Linked DNA regions of Xenopus tropicalis. The main gene of each other region encodes a partner of the protein of the gene in region 2 in a complex. Links are inferred from orthologs where the notes say so. Each region holds a gene or a part of one and is shown on either strand. Other genes may lie near its edges.

Region 1 (3,151 bases), on a different chromosome or scaffold from region 2:
ATAGATTCTCTTTTCCAGAGAATCAATGGAGTAGTTGTGTTACATTATGAGCTTAAGGGTGGGTGGGTGGGTAGTCTGCCATCATGGCTTCCTATGAAACAGCAGAATTACTTATTTTTCTTCAGGAATACCTATCTCAGTATGAAATGCAGTGGGCCCCCTCCTCTATTCAGTTTCGAAATGTAGAAAAAAAAAATCTCCTGTGCAAGATGACATTTACGAAACACTAAAGACTATTTTAAGTTAAATTTAGCAACAGCCATAAAACAGTTTACTTATTTGTTTGGGGGCCTGACCAGCAGCTACCCTAGCAGTGTTTTAAACTCCAGTGGGCAAGATTCAGCCAGATTCATTTCCAGGATTTCTGCTGTTTTGCAAGCAAATCTGTGAGGGTCTCTTCAATCGCGATGAGTCGCTTCTGGAACCACTTTTTAGACAGAAAAACCAAGGATTTTCATGAAACAAAGGCAAGAGCAAACAAGTATGCAAAATGAATGAAACTTTGTGCAGTGATTAAATTAAAAACAAAAAACACATTAAATGGCTCCCTGTTAATTCAAAAATCAATGTGTGCAACTGGACTTGACAACTGCGCCACAAACCAAAAAAAAATCCATTTGCAATATTTTGTTCACTAGAGAGGCTTCTAAGGGTTTATTGCAATTTTGTAATGCTTAGATGTCAACATAAAACATCTGTAATCATAAATACAGTACAACTCTGCTGCAAAAGTAAACAGAAATTCTGACTTTTCTTTATTTTGTTGAAAGAATACATTTATCCAGAAAGTACAATTAAAAAAAAAAAGGGACCACACTATAGACAACTGAGCATCATAATTCAAAATCTTAGAGATTGAGGGAGGGAATTTTTTTTATATGTATCTTTGGCTGGCACTGTAAAACTAGCACAAAGGGAAAACCTGAAGAACATTGTTGGAATAAAACTACTAACTTGCAGTATTGAACATCTTTTGCTACTGAACACTGCTAGGAAGAGCACGCTCAGATATATAAACTACAACTTCAAGAAGGATTCTTAAAGGGAATGTAGAGATTTTAAAACCGTTTTTTGGGACCCATAATTCGCACACTATAGTCGGGAACACCAAAAATTTCTGACATTGAATGGACCACCACCAAAGAGCCCATGCTGTCAGTTTTTATTTATTTATTTTTTTTAATCTGGAACTGAAAAAAGTGCTCCTGTGCAGCAGATAAAAAGCAGGGTGAGCCATTGACAAATGTAGTAAAACGTCTGAATTTTTGAAGTGCCAAAATTTTGCACTCACGCATCTAGCCTGATTTGCAGAATGGTAAAACCTCTGCTGCTATTAGTATATTAGAAGGCATGATTTTTGTCTCGCATAAGAGAAGTGGGTAAAACCTGTTGGTCCAAGCAGTCAGCAGAATTGTGCTTCATTCTCTAAATCCTATTCAGCAGTGAAACATAGCCACCCAAAGTCTTAACTCTTTTGAAAGTTTTTGTTTTTTTTTTCAGATTCAGTACCTGGGTATACAAATATCTATATATACAACCCTTACATCCTTTTGATAGATAATGTTCAAATGAAACATTTTAGCAAATAAAAGCATATCCCCTCCCTCCCATCTGCCATTACTGGTATAACAACCTTAATTTTCACATCTTTCAGTTGCCTGTGTGGGCAAGCATTTACTGTTTGCATGTCAGAGAATATGCAAAACCACACACTCTGGCATGGAACTGGCTCAAAAATTACTCAAGCAAGGATCCAATTATTTACATCTGAAGATACAGAGGGAAAAACTAAACAGAACTGCTGTAAACAAACAGTACTGCACAAAAAAGCCTGAAAACTTTCAGCAGAGAAAGACAATGCTCTAGATTGGCCCACTTTACAACTTCTGGCACGTTCAGCTGGAAAAGAAAACTGCATTTCTGATTGAATATCATCCCTGGGAGAGTCCGCCAACGTTTTCAGAAGTGTCGTGTGATCAGCATGTTTGTTCTGTGTTAACTATTTAACAGCAAATCCAAGGGGCATAGGTGAGAAATGAGGCATATGGAGGGAATTTGAGCTCCTGCCATACTGGAGATTGAACTTGTTCAGTGCTTAGCACACACCACCTGTCTGTTGTTGGAACACATCAATGGTATCTTCATCTTCCATCTCCAGCTTTGGGTCAAAAAGACAAACAAACATCTTTTTCATGACGAGGATAATGGAGAAACACAATATATATCTTTAAAGGTCTTGGGCCTGCACAGTTAAAAAGTAGCAACTACAATGATGTAGACTACCACCAGTAGTCCACATCAACCCAGACCTACAATAGGTCAGAAATAGGGGGCATATCATTTGCGACCTTGAGCTGATCTTACTGTGTATTGCCACCTTTACACTAGCTTTTTAAATTCACTATTGTATTTACTAGTATTCTATCACTATTTAGTGGCATCATTCTAGGTTTTATGTCCTGTTGCTCTTCTGCTTATCTTTACAATAGTGATGTGCAGGTTAACCAAAAACCCACAGGTTTAACCCTTAGGGTCAGGCAGGTCAGGGTTGAAGCTTAGGCAACTATTGCAGGTTTGGGTTGGGTGCAGGTCAGACAGATCCTGAACCTAAGGCCTTCACAGAAGTAATTTACACAGCGGATATTGGTATGGTGCGGGGTCCTACAATGGCAATATTTTGGGGGTTTAGGGTTTTCTTTTATTATTTTAAATACCTCTGAGAAGAAAAATGACTCAAACAACTGTACATAAAGACCTACTATCATTGCAACTTTTCCAGCTTCACTGGCAACATTAATGCTTAATGTACCTACTATGTTAAAGTTGGGAAAGGCATGATACATAAAATATACAAATTACAGCACGAATACCTAAACTAGCTTGTAGTGACACAAAAGTTGACATCAAGTATAAGCATTCACATACCTGTGCAGGTGTGTCTGTTTCATTGATTGGTTGTCCATCAAACCTGAACCTTATCTGCCGCATTGATAGGCCCTTTGAAAAGGATAAAGTATTATAATAATTTATAATGTTTTTGAAATAATTTCTAACTGCTTGATAGGGACTGCTAGCCTTTTTTATAATGATTCCCTACTCATAAGATGTCTTAGATGCCAGCTGCAAAGTAGTGCAATTTACCTTGTAGTCC
Region 2 (3,833 bases):
ACATGTGGCAGCTAAAACCTGGTGACCTTGTACTGGAGTCAACAGGAGATATATTTTTAACATATTTTATATTTAAACTATCTAAAAGCATTCAAATTTGTAAAAATGAATGTCACAAAAATTTGTAGGAAATTTGTAAAAGTTGTAAAAAATGAGAGGAGTCCCAAAGCTAGGAAGTATGAAAGAACCTCTCTAATGCACAACTTTACTACAATTCCAAGCCCCCTGAGCTGGGTTCCAGACTTTCTCTCCTGTACCTATGCATTCAGCCACTATCGCCAACTGAAAAGAAATCCAGTCTTATTATTTTAGCAAGTCTAACTGCTGTCATATTTAACAGAAGTCCTACTCTCAAACAATTCTAAAGTTCTAGCATGCATACCTGGAGGGATGCCCATTATGGATATTATTTATTCTATGCAGCCATAGGTGCTGTTAAAGGCATAAAAATATGAAAGCAGGCATTTTCAGGCTGACCTTCGCTCTGTGAGGCTGCACCCTGGCTAAAGCTAAGCCTGTCAATGCAGCTACATGGAGCTGTGGATAAGAGTGGATCCACTTTTCTCCACCTGCCTACAAAATGCAGGCGAAGAAAAGCAGATCCTGCGCTATGGGGCCCATTTATCAATGTACGATTGTGTATGAATACTAAAAATTCGTATTTTTTCTAAGTTTTAGAACTGTGCATTTTTTTCAGCAATTTTTTTGTTAATTTGCAACAATTTGTGCAACAAAATCGTATTTGTCGCAATGAGAATGTTATTCATTCAAAGCTTCGTTATCGTGACTTTCCTTTGACCAGGTTGGAGCTGCAGAGTGCCATTGAGTCCTGAGGCTTCCAAAATCATGCACAGAAGGATCAAAGTCAGAAAGGTTTTCACGATGTTTAAGATCGTTCGTATACAAAAATTTCACAACTTTCAGATCATTCCACAATATTTTCGTACCACCACGATACGAAATGTTCACGTTTTTAAATGCACATCAGAAATTATCGGATTTAATCCGAATTTTTCCTATCATACTTTCAATTGTCTGAAATTTGGCCTCTATGTGTGCCCAGGACCTACATCGGAGTATAATAACCATAAAGGCAGCTGAGCTGGCATACCTGTGTAAAGGTAATAGACTTATCTTTGGTGATATAATCTGCATACTTGCAGGCAAACATTCCACAATCACTGCCATTCATTTGTTGTGGGATTTCCTAAGAAAAAAAATCATCAGAAATTTACAAAGGAATAAATAAAAAAATTGTGCACCAATGACTAAAACCCATTCGGGATGACAGCATACCTCGCTTGTCTTGCTGGTAAGGGTCCAACCATTTGAGTCAAAACTTACGCCTTTTTTATCAATGCTTTCCTGTTTCAGGTATTGTCTGCAAGATGATTATTAAATGCATAATTAAAACAAAAGCATTTCATACAACAAATGAACAAGTGGCTCATCTACGTATGTGTGGGCTGTCATTCATTTGCCTTTTGATTCTCAGAAACAGTATTTATGTAAATTACTAATTAAAGGGATTCTGTCATGATTTTTATTCTAAATTACAGTTTACATAGCAAATAATTCACTCTACTATTTAAAATTTTATTCTTGAACCAACAAATTCTGAGCTTTCAGGAGGAAGTGCTACACATTAGAACTGCTTTCAGGTAACCTATTGTTTCTCCTGCTCCCATATAACTGGAGGAGTCCCAAGCTGGACTTGGATTTCTTACTATTGAGTGCTATTCTGATATCTACTGGGAGCTGCTATCTTGCTCCCTTCCCATTGTTCTGCTGATCTGCTGCTGGGAGGGGGGTGATATCACTCCAACTTGCAGCTCAGCAATAAATTGCAACTGAAGTTTATCAGAGCACAGGTCACATGGCTGTGGCACCCTGGGAAATATGTGAAATGTCGAAATTAAATATAAAAAAATCCATTTACATTTTTGAAAAATGGATTTCAATGCAGGATTCTGCTGGAGAAGCTCTATTAACAGATGCGTTTAAAAAAAAAATATATATATATTATATATATATATATGTAAAAAATGCTGATGCACACCAGGAAAATTTTATCAAAAAAAAGATACTTAGATCGACGTTTCGGGTATCTTTTTTTTTGATAAAATTTTCCTGGTGTGCATCAGCATTTTTTACATATTTACATTGTTTATCTGATTTGCACCCAGGTTGTTATCCCTATAAGTGTGTGTCTCAGCCTTTTTCTATATTATATATATATATATCTATATATCTATATATATATCTATATATATATCTATATATATATATCTATATATATATATCTATATATATATATATATCTATATATATATATATATATCTTATATATATATATATCTATATCTATATATATATATATCTATATATCTATATATCTATATATCTATATATCTATATATATATATATTATATAATATATATTTTCCCATGACAGTATTCCTTTAATTATTGCTCAAGCAAACTTGTACTTTTCATGATAATAGAGCCACTACAGGCTCTTTAGTACTGGAGTTTATTTTTTTTTGGCAACAGTAAATATAAAAGCTTCCCCATATAAAACAGTCTATGCATAATAAATACCAATATTATTTGCACTCAATAATGATGTGCGGGCCAGCCCAACACCTGCGGGACCCACAGGGGCGGGCAGACTAGCACCAACACGCACATAAGTTCCTCGGGTCACGGGCAGGTTCAGGACGACCTCTTCCTGTCGCCCTTCCTAACTGCGCCCCCTACAGGAGAAGCAATTTTATATGTGTGTCTACCTTGCCCCACCCCCTACGTGATGTCAGAGATGGGCTGGTCAGGCACGGGCTGAATTTTTGTCGACCTGTACATCACTATTACTTAACATTGCTTGAAAATAAAAATTCTTAAATATCCAGGTTAAGTGAACAGTCTGTCAACTTAAAAAGGGTTATACTCTTTTAAACTAACTTTTAGTATGATGTAGAGTCAATCTGCAATTGGTCTTTATTTTTTATTTCTGCGTTTTTAATTTAGTTTTTTTTTTTTTATTAAAGCAGCTCTCCAGTGTGGAATTTCAGCAGCTATTTGGTTTCTAGGGTCCAAATTACTAGGCAGAGGTTTAAATGAGAGCCTTAACTAAAGCCTATTATTTTTTTAATTAATAAAAATTAACAATAACAGTAAAATTGTAGCCAAACAGAACCAAACAGTTTTTTGCCTTTGGTATCAGTAACCCCCATTTTAAAGCTGAAAAGAGACAGAAGAGGAAAGCAAATAATTTAAAAACTTTAAAATATGAAGACCATTTGAAAAGCTGCTAAGAATAGGACATTCTATAACACACTGAAAGTTAACTTAAAGGTAAACTACCCCTTTAATTTCGTCAAGCATGGGATATTTCCTATGTGATCTTCTAATGTGTGAACCACTAGTAAATTGCACTGCACGGATGTGGCTGCCCACATCTGGCTGACCCTTTGGCTTGGCCAGGCAGCCACAAACAACTGGAAGGTTTGCTTAGTATGCAGCTATATATGGCAGTGAGTAAATTCATATAAAAACAATTACTTACAACAGTATTTTGCATGCTTCATTGTTTAATCCGCCCATTGAATCAAAGTACAGGATGGACTTTTTTCTAAAGTCTACAACCTATTAAAACAGAAAGTGCCATTACAAATTAATTCTCTTTTATTCATATGTACACAAGAATCTGGACTTAAATAAATGATAGATAAAACATAATAAAAAAATTATACAAAACTAAATAATATAGTTGTACAGGAATTTCCAAGCTTTGTGTAAGATAAACAGAATCTAAATTAATATTATAAGTCAGT

The links.
Region 1: the proteins of senp1 (region 2) and sumo3 are in contact, whole or in part, in a crystal structure (PDB 6NNQ), measured with the Homo sapiens proteins. The link is inferred for Xenopus tropicalis from reciprocal best matches to the Homo sapiens genes SENP1 and SUMO3. Residues at the interface, in NP_001254523.1 of Homo sapiens: Gln440, Asp441, Glu446, Arg449, Leu450, Thr451, Lys455, Trp465, Leu466, Asn467, Asp468, Glu469, Asn494, Thr495, Phe496, Lys500, Arg511, Trp512, Lys514, Lys515, His529, Gly531, Val532, His533, Trp534, Gln597, Gly600, Ser601, Asp602, Cys603; in NP_008867.2 of Homo sapiens: Gln24, Ser53, Arg55, Gln56, Arg58, Arg60, Asp62, Gly63, Pro65, Asn67, Thr69, Asp70, Gln74, Glu76, Asp84, Phe86, Gln87, Gln88, Gln89, Thr90, Gly91, Gly92.

Annotation. Positions count from the first base shown.
Region 1 is NC_030685.2:55,096,686-55,099,836, reverse strand, and holds the end of sumo3 (small ubiquitin-related modifier 3), read right to left. Parts: intron 2,998-3,151; coding exon 2,926-2,997; intron 2,159-2,925; coding exon 2,096-2,158; 3' UTR 725-2,095; downstream 1-724. UniProt on the Homo sapiens protein: Ubiquitin-like protein which can be covalently attached to target lysines either as a monomer or as a lysine-linked polymer. Does not seem to be involved in protein degradation and may function as an antagonist of ubiquitin in the degradation process.
Region 2 is NC_030678.2:143,514,102-143,517,934, reverse strand, and holds part of senp1 (sentrin-specific protease 1), read right to left. Parts: intron 3,646-3,833; coding exon 3,566-3,645; intron 1,382-3,565; coding exon 1,297-1,381; intron 1,208-1,296; coding exon 1,112-1,207; intron 1-1,111. UniProt on the Homo sapiens protein: Protease that catalyzes two essential functions in the SUMO pathway.